Linked DNA regions of Caenorhabditis elegans. The protein of the gene in region 1 interacts with the protein of each later gene in a pairwise test. Each region holds a gene or a part of one and is shown in the gene's direction. Other genes may lie near its edges.

Evidence for each region. Proteins that work in one complex are often made in the same cells at the same time.
Region 2: the proteins of del-4 (region 1) and F58G6.7 interact in a two-hybrid assay, tested with the Caenorhabditis elegans proteins (one large-scale study listed by BioGRID).
Region 3: the proteins of del-4 (region 1) and T16G1.5 interact in a two-hybrid assay, tested with the Caenorhabditis elegans proteins (one large-scale study listed by BioGRID).

Annotation. Positions count from the first base shown.
Region 1 is NC_003279.8:8,138,968-8,144,226, reverse strand, and holds del-4 (Amiloride-sensitive sodium channel), read left to right. Parts: upstream 1-1,689; coding exon 1,690-1,796; intron 1,797-1,839; coding exon 1,840-1,945; intron 1,946-2,149; coding exon 2,150-2,251; intron 2,252-2,394; coding exon 2,395-2,526; intron 2,527-2,791; coding exon 2,792-2,868; intron 2,869-3,331; coding exon 3,332-3,531; intron 3,532-3,578; coding exon 3,579-3,857; intron 3,858-3,928; coding exon 3,929-4,010; intron 4,011-4,087; coding exon 4,088-4,145; intron 4,146-4,192; coding exon 4,193-4,342; intron 4,343-4,385; coding exon 4,386-4,559; intron 4,560-4,605; coding exon 4,606-4,722; 3' UTR 4,723-4,759; downstream 4,760-5,259.
Region 2 is NC_003282.8:9,652,618-9,656,120, forward strand, and holds F58G6.7 (Copper transport protein), read left to right. Parts: upstream 1-1,699; 5' UTR 1,700-1,733; coding exon 1,734-1,925; intron 1,926-1,969; coding exon 1,970-2,061; intron 2,062-2,312; coding exon 2,313-2,449; intron 2,450-2,598; coding exon 2,599-2,678; 3' UTR 2,679-2,971; downstream 2,972-3,503. Other genes in the region: F58G6.3 (Copper transport protein), read left to right, coding at 929-1,046, 1,099-1,207, 1,377-1,554.
Region 3 is NC_003283.11:12,937,042-12,941,393, reverse strand, and holds T16G1.5 (CHK kinase-like domain-containing protein), read left to right. Parts: upstream 1-1,841; 5' UTR 1,842-2,097; coding exon 2,098-2,253; intron 2,254-2,306; coding exon 2,307-2,705; intron 2,706-2,749; coding exon 2,750-2,999; intron 3,000-3,097; coding exon 3,098-3,201; intron 3,202-3,249; coding exon 3,250-3,411; intron 3,412-3,458; coding exon 3,459-3,533; intron 3,534-3,578; coding exon 3,579-3,737; 3' UTR 3,738-3,820; downstream 3,821-4,352. Other genes in the region: T16G1.4 (CHK kinase-like domain-containing protein), read left to right, coding at 1-204, 251-500, 577-680, 726-887, 935-1,009, 1,051-1,182; T16G1.6 (CHK kinase-like domain-containing protein), read left to right, coding at 4,235-4,352.

The DNA of each region.
Region 1 (5,259 bases):
ACATAATAATAAATTTAAAAAATAGTTTCGAAGTGGTGAAGTGCTTTCTAACATCACAGTTTGAGGAGCAAAGGCGCCAAGAAAAAAGAAAATTATTTCACCAATGAACACAGTATATGAGATCCATTCCAAATGTAGACATCATAAATCTCCACCCACACTACTTCCTTGTCAACATTTTTAACATTTCTTATTTTAGATCTTGTTTTCTGACTTTCTAGTAATAAATCTACACTTGAAGATTTCCAAGTACTACTTAAAAACGAACAACTTATGAAACAAAAAACCCTTTCTTATCTTCTAAATTAAAAAATCGAAAATTCAAGAAAGAATTATAAAAATGTATAATAACGAGATCACGAGCTTAGTCACAAGAGTTTTGGTTGAAACAGAAAGATTTAACAAAAAAAGCTGGCTATATACAATTCTGAAATGTAAGATATTACTGCTAGGACCTCGTAAATCATTAAATAATTATGCTCTATTCCGTGCTGCTCACGGAGCTCAAAATGCTCATATTTCCAGAATCTAAAATATCCTAATGAGAATTGAAGAAGGGAAGAAAGGGTTCCTCGTATCTCTAATTAGTGCTTGTTCAGGGAATACTTTGAATTGGGAATTTGATTTTTTAACTTGGCAGATAAATCATAAACTGATTTCTACTATGATAGGGAATTTGGAATGCTTTCAACTGTAAGTACCAAATTACACAAAATATTTGCTAGAATTGCCTTTAAATATTAGCTTTATCATATGATCGATGATTGAAAGATAGAAGGAAAAGAGAAGCCTTAAATGAAAAAGTCATAAATTAAATGTTGATATGTCATAGATCATATGATAAATATGTATGAGTTATGATATTTTGGACTTTCAAAATGATTAGTATTTGCTAGTTTGGCTTCTTGAAAATTGTTACGGTTGAAAATAAAAATAGAATTCTCACATCTCGAGAAACAGAACTGTTTGATCAGAAACGACAAATAAACATATATTAATTTTCCGGAGAATGGTTGAAATCTAGATAGTATCAGTTTTTTTCAAACGTACACTTTGTGAGTAGAAACTTAAAGAAAATAATCAAAACGTATGTAGTTCAATTAAAATGTTTTTGATATTATCAAATTATCTTCAAATCATTAATATAATTTTTAGATGGAACAAAGGCAAAATACCACCAGATGCGGTTTCTAATAATACTTAAATTTTTCACCGAAAATTGTATATGTTTTTGAAAACTTTCAGTCAAAGTTTTGGCAAATTGACAAATTTTTGACTCCTACAATGTTTAGATACAAATAGTGAAAACAAAATTAAAACATATTAAATTTGTTTTGATGAAAAAATTCTAACTGGAAAAAACTGAGTAAGTGCATAATAAAATTTATAAATGTATTTGAAAAGCTTCACTATTATATTTGGTCATTTTAGCACAACAGAAATGAACTCTAAAACTTTTCCTACCCATTGTCCATGTGACTTTAAACCGACGAATACAAAGTATTGTATTTCTCTAATGGGCAAAAATAGGAAATTGGGAATCTATTTGGAAAAGAAGATTTTTAAAACAAAATATCCTTGGGAACTTGATCACAGTTTAAAGATGGTGTGGCATTTTTCTACCTTAATTATGACGTGGAATGCCTTGTGACAAAGGTTGATTGGAAATAAATTAAAATAAAATTGCAGATGGGTGTATTTTGGACCGGCCTGAAGTATGTTTTCACGGATTTTTCGTGTTGGACATCAACTCATGGAGTTCCACATATTGGAATGGCAAATGCTCGATGGTTGAGGTAGACATGGAAATTAATGACCCAGAATGATAAATGATTTCAGAGCATTCTGGATACTTGTCGTCGTTGTTTCCATTGCACTTTTTATTTGGCAATTCATCACGTTGCTTACCAACTATTTATCATTCAGTGTGAATACGGAAACTACGGTTTGTTGTAAAGAAAACTTACAAAAACTATATATCTCTTGCGAACAGGGGATATTAAAATAGACATTCTACCAGGGCAAAGCGTAATTAGGTTTTTTCTAAATATTTTACTGATCTTGAAGTTTTTAAATTTGTAGAAAAAGTCATCTGAAAATCTCACGGAAACTGCTCCTGCATTCTCACACTTTACCCATAAATTTCCAGCTGCAATTTGCCGAACGGACATTTCCCACCGTCACGATTTGTCATTTAAATCCATGGAAACTATCAGAAACGAAAAGTGTGGACCCGGATATGAGTGCACTGGTAATCCAAAGTCTTTAATAACATTTTAAATGATTTTGAGGGACTGATTTTTGAAGTGAAAGTGATGGAGTTGTAGAAAACGCGTTAATTTGCATCTCTACGTCTTATATCCCTTACCTATCAGAAGAGCATCAGTTTTCCAGATCGACGCCTACAACTCTGATTCAAGCTCTGCTCAATTTGGACTCCCAGCTTCTTTGACAGCTGATAGGCAGCAACAAGCTAGTAAATGGACTCTCATGTATTCTGAAAGACTTAACGAAAAACAGTATAATGTAGGTCAAAGCTTGTTGAACATGTTTCAGAATTTCCGATGCTCAAAGAGCACCGGGAACTAAAATTTCGACCGATAAATCAAGTTTCTTCAAAAAAGCACATAAATGTTCGAAATTGAAATTGGGGGTTTATAATCATTTCGGAAAAGACATAAAATCCAAAAACTAGGAGAATATTTTATTGTTCTTGTGTGTGTTTTATGATCGATTGCTTTCTTTTTCTTTGAGATTTTGAAGATAAACCAAAGGAAGTGAGTAATTTCAGGATGCGGCAGACATTGCATATTCATATGATGACATGGTTGTTAGTTGCACGTATAATGCAAAAACATGCAACATTACGTACGTTTAAAGTTTGTGTTCGCAGTAATTCTTTACGTCTACCAATCTGCTTATTTTGATAAAATAGTGTAGCTTTATATAATGCAATTAAAACTTAACGTAGAAATTTAGAAAATATGTGGTTGATTTGAAAATAATGAGTATTATTATTGGAAAGTAGAAATGAACCTGTACTTATCTAAAGTTGTAATTTGTCAAACATAATTTTTAGAATCTCTTTCGCTTTTTTAAAAACTTTTTCAACAATAATAACAATTTTTTCAATTTATATCATCATTTATTGAGAAGAAAAAACCAATAAATATAATTAGACTCAATTCATTCAAATATTTTCAGTGATCATTTTAAATTAATTATTAATTGTAAAACTTTAATAATATGGGCAAATTTTCTATATATTTTTATATTTTCCGCGCACCCTTGTTTCAAACAAAATTCTGAAAGATAATTCTTAACTTTCCAGTGACTTTAACGATTTTTACAACCCGTCATACGGAAATTGTCTGCAATTTAACACTGATGGAATGTATTCTTCTTCCCGCGCGGGACCACTTTATGGTCTTCGTATGGTGATGAGAACAGATCAAGATACATATCTTCCATGGACTGAAGCTTCAGGCGTTATCATTGATATTCATATGCAGGATGAAATACCGTATCCTGGTGAACTGCCAAATTGCATTAGAAGTGTATTCTTGATCTTATTTCAGATGTATTCGGTTACTTTGCACCGCCGGGAACTGCTTCCTCTCTTGGTGTTAGTTATGTTCAAACTACTCGTCTTAGTAAACCTTACGGTAGCTGCACAACCAAAACAAAACTAAAAACTACTCATTATACTGGAACATACACTGTTGAAGCATGTTTTAGAAGTTGTATGCAGGAAAAGATTATTGCATCGTGTGGATGTTACTATCCTGCTTATTCCCATGCATCAAATACAACACAGTATGTATCATGTGATAACGGTGTACAGACACTTTCTAATTGTAAGTTTTATCTGCTCATTAACTGAAAAAAATCTGACCAATTTTCCTATTATATTATTTATATGTTTCAGTAAACTGTGTTGACTTGATCAATAGTGCCGATTCAACGGAATTCGATGTGCTCACCGATTGTGATTGCCCTCAACCTTGCGAGTAGGTTATGTTTCAAATATTTATTAAAACAGGCAGCAGTTGTAAATGAGTTGTCAAAATAATATTATTTGGTTCAGAATCGATTCATATGGTGTAACTGTATCCACTGCTCAATGGCCATCCGATTCATATGTGGTACGTGCTTTTATATTGAATATTTCTGTAAAAATTAATTTTTCTAGCCAACAGAATGCAATCCTGGTGGTCCATCTGGTCCGTGGGATGCTTCAGGAGAATCGTGTCTTGATTGGTATAAAGCAAACACCATTCTCATTGAAATATATTATGAACGAATGAACTTCCAAGTTCTTACAGAGTCACCAGCGTATACGGTAAGTTTAAAAATGGAACTCATAAAAATTGGAATATTTTCAGTTTGTAAACTTCATTTCTGATGTTGGCGGTCAAGTTGGTTTGTTCCTTGGAATGAGTATTATATCTGCAATCGAATATCTTGTTTTGATATTTCTTGTCTTTTTCTATTGTTGTACTCATAAATCTAGAAGAGCAGAAATTGAACAACTTGAAATGGACATCAAAAAGGCTAAGGTAGCACTTTAATAGTATTGCACCTTTACAAATTAATTATTTGAAGGATGATGTGGATCAAGTTGCAGAGAAGCGGAAGAAACATCAAAAAGCAAATGCAGAACTTTACGAAATGGATACAGCTCATGATATTGTTCCACCAAAGCCTCATTCTAATGATTGATATTCTGCCGATTTTGGGAAACGTTGAATAAAAGATTTATATTAAGACACAAAAATGCCTTCCAGGCAAACTTTTCTGAAATTTCGGAGCAGGGCAGGGGTAGGTCACGCCAAATGAGGCAGACAGGGGAAGGGTTTGGAAAGCTAGCACAGGAGTTTACATCAAACAGTGGAAGATTCGTAGAGGAATGGCGGCTTAAATTAAAATTTTGAAAAATATTCAATATGTTTTACAGGTATATTTTGGCACTTTTTTCCTGAAAGGTTATCCTCCTATTCATTTTAATATTAAAAAAGTCGAGTATTGAATCAAAAACTATTGAGGGAAATCCCACAAAAATCAATAATTTTATTTTATTTTGAAAAATAGTTTTTCTTGTAGTTTTATTTTTCATTAACAACGAAAATTGATTTAAAAAAATAATATTGTTAAATAAAAATTACTTATCTCCCATCATCTGATTAGAAAACGTACACCTCACTTAAAAGTTATTTTTCCCAATATCCAAGTAAGCCCTATTATTCTCTAATCCAATTC
Region 2 (3,503 bases), on another chromosome or scaffold:
ACTCTTAAAACGTTACAATTTTATTAAAAAGTTCAGCAGTATTGAAAACCAGACATTAAAATTTAATAAGGTTTACCTGCTGTTCTTCAATGAGACTGCGTTTCACTGTGGAAGTATGGAAAAACTGTACAAAATTCACACATTGGTGAAATTACCGAGTTTGGCAAGGAGACCAATTATCTCCTATCGATGGCTCCCCAGGAGGCCAATTTGAAATTTTGTCCTAAAAGTGGCTTTTTGTCCTATTAGTGTTACGAATTTTATACCGTATATCTCCTATTAATATGGCCTCCCTATTAGACTTGCACTCCCTATTAGTGTTGCCCCTCGGAGACCTTCCGAAAATTAGTATGGCACTCCCTAATAGTCTTGCGTTTACTTTTTTTTATTGCAGGCCCGTCTCGTTAATTTCAGGATTTCAACAAAAAATTTTGCCTATTTTGCAACAGTTTTTCACAATATTTCTACGAGATTGAAGTTTTTGAACTTATATGTTACAATTAAAATCAAATATTCTGAATTTTTACATAAGATTCGAGCTTTTTCAGAAAAAAAAACTAGTAAGCTCAAAGTCAGAAAAATGTTCGGAAAATTAGTATTGCACTCCCTAATAGTCTTACACTCCCTATTAGTATTGCAAGCGGGAAGACCATCGAAAAATAGTATTACAGCCATATTAATAGAAGAAATACGGTAGTTTAACTGTGGTGACTACGGTATCTCTTATCCAATCCTGACTTGAATGTCTTCCCATACTTGCACCCAAAGAATCTTATCATTTCCCGGCTTTTCGAGTTTCTTTATCATTTTGCTTCGTCTCAGTCAATCATTGTTCACTTGGTTTGGTCTCAAAATATTAATACACATTATTTTTACTTTTCAAATTTTTATTGTTTTATGATTGTTTAACTTATTGCAGATACCAACAATGAATCATAATTCAATGGATATGGACATGAATCAAGGACCTTTCATGTGGATGTGGTTTCATACAAAACCACAAGACACTGTTCTTTTTTCCACGTGGAATATTACTAGTGCTGGAAGTATGAGTGAAAATTCCTTGCTTTGAAGATACATTGAATAACTAAATTTTAGAAATGGTTTGGGCGTGTATACTCGTTGCAATTGCTGGAATTATCTTGGAAGCAATTAAGTATAACAGAAGACTAATTCAAAAACGACAATCACCAAGCAAAAAAGAAAGGTTAGCTGATAAACATTTTCCGAAACAAAAAATACTGAAAATTATACAATTGGCAGTTCCATGTTTTGAATATTTTTAAACTTAAAAAAAACATTTCATTTTCCGATTCGAAATTACCCAAAATTTGAATTTTGAAAAAACGGCTTGTACAATTCTTTAATATTTGCAGCTACATTTCCCGCCTGCTCTCCACAATGCACTTTTTTCAAACATTCTTATTTTTTGTTCAACTCGGTTTCAGTTATTGTCTTATGCTCATTTTCATGACGTTTTCAATTTGGTTGGGATTAGCTGTTGTTATTGGCTTGTCTATTGGATTTTTAATTTTTGGAGGAAGGAGTGAATAGTTTTTATTTTTTAATTTCATTTCTAGAATTTCATATAAATGTTATCAACAATTTTTGATCATTTATTCTGAGTGTTTCTTTGTTACTGACAATATTGGTTTACCTCTGATTTTGAAATGCGTTCCTTATTCACCTACTCTTCCAGATATTCTTTTAACTTCAAATATATTGTACTCAAAATGATGCACATGATGATGGAAATGTATTTTCATTTTCGAATTGAGGAGCCCATTCTTTTTCGCGAATGGAAACCACTGAACACCACTGCTTATGTATTTTCATGCATTGAAATTTTTTTAATTGCTTTTTGTTTAGAAGCTTTGAAATTTGGAAGAACAAAACTCTCTCCAAAAGTTAAGATTGTGGAAAAGGTGAGTTTTAATAATTAATATGGTTATAATGCACGAATTTTCAGAAAGTAGATTGCTGCTGTTCAACAGAAAAAGATGGATTATGGAATATTCCAGAAACAATTCCTTTGACACAAAAAACTGTCACTTTGGCACCGTTAGTTATTTGCTGCATCATTGTATGAGAGATGCATGCCTTTTGTTTAAAAAAATATTCACGAGTAACATTTTCCTAAACTGTAAACTTTTAAAAAACTCTTTTTGAGCTGAAATTTTCTTTTTCAACTACCTCTACATGTTTTAAAATTAAAATTAATACCTCTACAATGAAAAGCTTCTAAATATGTTTTTTATAACTAAACTTTGTTTACTGTTTCATAACAAGTGAATTATTTTCAATTCTTCCAGATTCACCCGTGACTCCTTAATTTCAAAATTTCACATGGCTTCTTCACTTCTTGTATTTGTGCAACATTTCATTGATTACTCTCTTATGCTGGTTTCAATGACTTACAATTGGCCAATATTTCTCTCCTTGCTTGCAGGTAATGTAATACCTGCTGGCTAAAAAAAATGCGTACGTTAGAGTACAAATACATTTTTGAAAATCAGTCTTTCAAGATTTCAAATTGCTCATAAGTTTTTCGCCTGAAGATAATTATAATAAGGATATTCTGAAACAGTAATTTTTCAGGTCATACCACCGGATATTTCTTCCTAGGACCCATGATGACTGTGGAGGAGAGTGAAGCAGCTGGAAGTTGTTGTTCATAATTTTTAGCTCTATGTATTTTTAATATCCACAATCATCAATGGTTTTTATTGGATTACGAAAGTAATGTATTCGGTTTTTATCTTTCTACATACACTTTGCAAAACTTTCTTTTACTGCCACTTTGTAATCTAATTTATGTCTAGCCATTCAACATTCTTACTATTAGATTGATATTTAACATCACTCTTCAAAGATCGAACTTTTTCATATGTATGACAGATAAAAACACTTTTTTATGTTGTGTTTAAAAAATTTTAATTTCAACAAATTTCAAATAAATGTTTGAATTTTGGTTAACAATTAATTTTTCTCTCTTTGAGCAGTTTTCTATGAGTGTTAAAGATTGCAAAAAATGCCCTCAAATCATACAAGTATCATCTCCCTCTTTTCTCAATTTAAAATCTTTTGCCTCCTTCCATTGCCTTTGGCCATATGCAATATAATAATAATTCAATTTGTTGGCCGAGGAGCATCGTAGCTTCTGATTACGGCTCTCTTCTCACAGAATTACGTCAGTCACGTCAGTGTGTCCCTTCGACATATAAACACTTTTGAATTCAGCTGAACATCAGTTTTAGTTTTAAGAAAATATAAAGCTATAATAGATTTTCTAGTAGTTAAACATTGTAAGAACGAATCAAAATTTTGAAGTCATAAGTTTATCGGAAACTACAATAAATTAGTTTTTCGAATTTTTTACGTTTCCTGAAAAGTGTACGTTTGAAGAAAAACTACGCATTGATGTTGCACTTAAATCCTCGAACTAATTAACTTGCTTTCAGTTTTCCGTTGTTATTCTCTCTATGCAATCTCCCTTTTTCTGA
Region 3 (4,352 bases), on another chromosome or scaffold:
CGACTTTTTCATAACAGAGAAGTTAATTTGTATAAAATTACGAAGAAATGGAATAAGAATGATGAGTTGTTAAGTCCAAAGATTTATTTTTACAAAAAGTTTGATTCTGAGAACCAAACAAAAGGAATATTGGGCATGGAAGCTGTTGATGATGTAACTGTAAGACATCTCTATTACAATGTAAAACCATTTGAGCTGCACTCTGTAAGTTTTAAATCAGATTATCAAGTAAAACTCAATTTATTTACAGGTATTAAAATCGATTGCCAGACTTCAAGCGGAAAGTCTTCATTTGACTGATCAGGAAAAACAAAGTATTGCTGGATTTGATTTGAAGAAGATGTCAAACACAATATTCAGTGAAGAAGGCATGCAAAATAATTTTAAGCAGACTCGTGAAATCAATCCGGAACGATTAAAAGAAAGCGTCGACAAAGTTGAGATTTATGGAACTGAGCTCGTAGATTTGGATAAAGCTATTAACCTAAACAGTTACATTGGTGAGTTTTCTTTCACAAATTTGGATATATTTTACCTATCAGTGAAAACTATTGAGAGATAAGATCTTTATGTCAGGTATCGAACGTGATGTCTTGGTGCACGGAGATCTGTGGTCAGCGAATATTCTATGGGAAGAGAATGAGGGAAAATTTTTAGTAAGCAAAGTTATAGATTACCAGGTAAGTCCCCAAAAAGTTGTGTTTTTTATCTCTGTAATATTGCAGCTCATTCACATGGGAAACCCAGCTGAAGATTTGGTAAGACTTCTTCTTTGTACACTTTCTGGAGCAGATCGTCAAGCACACTGGGAAAGGCTTTTGGAGCAATTCTACGAGTATTTCTTGGAAGCTCTTCAGGACAACGAGACGCCATATTCACTGGAGCAAGTAAATGTTTTGTAGTTCATGGTATTTGAACAATGTTCTAGTTTTAGTTAAAAGAATCCTACCGTCAATATTTTGTTACTGCTGGTCTCTTTATGTTGCCCATGTTTGGACCGATTGCACAGGTATTGTCTGTAACGTATATGAGAAAGTTAATTGATTTCAGATGAAACTTTCTTATTCATCCGACAACGAACACGCAGAAGAGTATCGTGAAGTTCTCACAGAAAAAGCTGAACGGCTAATGGAAGATTTGGAACGTTGGCACTTGCACAGTAAAAACTTTAAGCAAATCTAAAATAGAAGTGTAAATGAAATTTCTATGTAAATATTATATAAGTTGAGCCAAATAAACCGTTTGTTGTAAATAATATTTACAAGATATACAGATGTATAAAAAATAATAATGGCAGGTAAATTTACAAACCAAAAACGAATAGTTGTATTAATAAGTTCCAATAAGGCGCAATAAATATTCTAGCTATTAACACTCCGGCAGTATTATTTTAAATATCTATTTTTCTTTAGACATAGCCTAAATCAAATAATTCGCCTCAAATATCCAAATATCAATTAGTTACACAAAAGATAGAAAACTTATTTGACCAAATAGCGTTGTTTTTAGAAATAGAAAAAAAATAATAATGTTTTGTAAATCCACATCTAACTCAGATAAAATTTAGTTAACTTCCCCGAAAACTTTATTGCACATTATAGGGGTCCAATATTCAATAAATTTAGAAAAACAACTATTTTAATAAACTGTACCAAAGTTCATAGCAATGCATTGAAAATCAAGGGAAAAATATAAAATAACGGAAAAAAGTAAACTCTAGTATTGCACAACTTTTTGTAATTTCACATAATGTGGTTTGTGTTGACGATCAATCGTGCGTAATCTATGAAATTGCGTCACTAAGTAAGTAAAGAAAAACAATGGAACACTCCCATTTTCACTTGATTGAGGTGATTCTATATAAACAAAAATTACCAATGCAAAATTATAATGCTTTCTAGACGATCTATTTAAATAATTTGAATATATTTTTTTAAATTCTATCTCAATTTACAACACTAGTCTCAATTTGATATTTTCTGACTATTTTGTGTAGTGAAAAAAACGATAGGCTGCTCGCCGGTATTAAATTGATAGCCATTTGTTGCATGATACTGATTCAGTCTTATTTTTTGATTCAAACTGAAACAAAAAACTATGAGCGAAAAGAAACCTTCAATCATCGATAATGGAGATGGATTGTTTGAAACTCATGTCAAGTTGGAAGATATTCAAATTCTAATTAAAGAACAGATGAATACTGATTCAAAGCTTGGAGAGAAGACCAAATTAACAGTGGTGGGAGATGGAAATGTATGTTCTTATTTGTTGTAGCTGTTCTTCTTTTGCTAAATATTTAATTTTAGGGATTCATGAGTCGTGTGGTACTTGTGGAAGCAGATTGGACTATTCCTAACGAGAACCTTCCAGAAAAAATCATATTAAAACTGACATCTTGTATCAATGTTCACCACCTTGTTTCACAGATGAAAGAGAAAAACCCAGATGCATTCACTGAACAACAAGAAGCTGAATTATGGGCCATGTTCGAAAGAGAAGCTCAGAATGTGCACAATCGAGAAGTCAATCTCTATAGGATAACTGAGAAATGGAACAAGAATGACGCGCTGTTGAGTCCAAAGATTTATTTCTACAAGAAATTCGACTGTGAAAACAAGACTCAGGGAGTTTTGGGAATGGAGTATGTGGATGATGCTGTTGTTAGGCATCTCTATTGTAATGCAAAACCACACGAGTTGCATCCAGTTAGTTTGAATGATTTAAACCATAAATTAAGCACAGCATTCAGATTTTACAATCATTGGCAACACTTCAAGCGGGAAGTCTTCATTTAACGGAAGATGAAATCAATAGTATTTCTGGATATGATTTTAAATCAATGGTTGGAAGAATGATGAGTGAAGAAGGAATGAAGCAAATGTACACTCGAGCACGTCAAATTAATCCGGAACGTCTGACAAAACCTACAGATGCAGTCGAAGCATTAGGAATGGATATCGTCAACTTTGAGATTTCATGTCATGTGAACAAGTACGCTGGTGAGTTCTGGTTTTTAATTTATGAGAATCAATCAAATCATAACTTAAATAATTAAACAATTATTTCCTTGTTTGTAAATATAATTTGGAAATTTTAGGCATTCAAAAAAATGTTCTGGTTCATGGAGATTTATGGGCAGCCAATATTTTGTGGAAAGAGAATGATGGAAACTGTGTAGCCAGCAAAGTTATTGATTATCAGGTAATAAATTAATAAATTATGAAAAACATTTTTTTATAATCGTTTTAGCTCATCCACATGGGAAATCCAGCAGAAGATCTTGTTCGTGTGTTTCTTTCCACGCTCTCTGGTGCTGACAGACAGGCTCACTGGGAGAAACTTTTAGAACAATTCTACGAGTATTTCTTGGAGGCGCTTGAAGGTAATGAGGCTCCTTACACACTCGATCAGGTAATAATACTAGTTTCCTTTATCAATACTGATTAATTTACTTCCAGTTAAAAGAGTCATATCGGTTATATTTTGTTGGTGGTGGTCTTTTTGTGATGCCACTGTTTGGCCCTGTTGCTCAGGTAGTCAATACGTACAAGTATTCTCTAATAGTTAATTAATTACAGGCTAAACTTTCGTATTCGACTGATAATGAGAACGTGGAGGAGTATCGTGAGGTTCTCACTGAAAAAGCTGAACGTCTCATGGAAGACTTAAAGCGATGGCACTTGTACAGTAAAGATGTGACAAAGGATTTAGAAACGGCGGAAAAGTTGACTTTATGATAAGAATACCGATAAAATTATGAAATTTCTCGAAACTTTTGAATTGTGAAGCAACTTCTTAATAAAGTAACTCATTGACTTTAATTTTTAAACCACGGCTTAGAGAAAATTAAAAATCAAACACTGCAGCTTTTTTGATGCGAAAATTCATTGATATGGAACAAACCTCAAATTTGATAAATAATACAATAATTTGTCAAGAAATCACAAAAACGTTCTTTTGAAATGCAAGTTATAAGACATACGCAAGATGTTATGTCGGTGGCTGGTTTTAACTATAAAATACGAAACAATTGACCTCCTGACACAAAATTTCCGAGCTTGATTTGTCTGATATCATTTGTGCTTTGGAATTATTGTTTCATGTGCATAAAATCTACACTGTGTTCATTCACGATAAGAAGAATTTCAGACAGAAACCACAGGAGGTTCATCGATATAAAATGCTAATCATTTGATTTAAAGAACCATACTCTTTTTACTCTCGTCGTTAAGAAATGACTGCAGAAAAATTAACGATTCTCGATAATGGAGAAGGTTTATTTCAAACACACGTTTATGTGAAAGATGTTCAAGAAGCTATTGGAGAACAGATGAACACTGAGTCAAGACTCG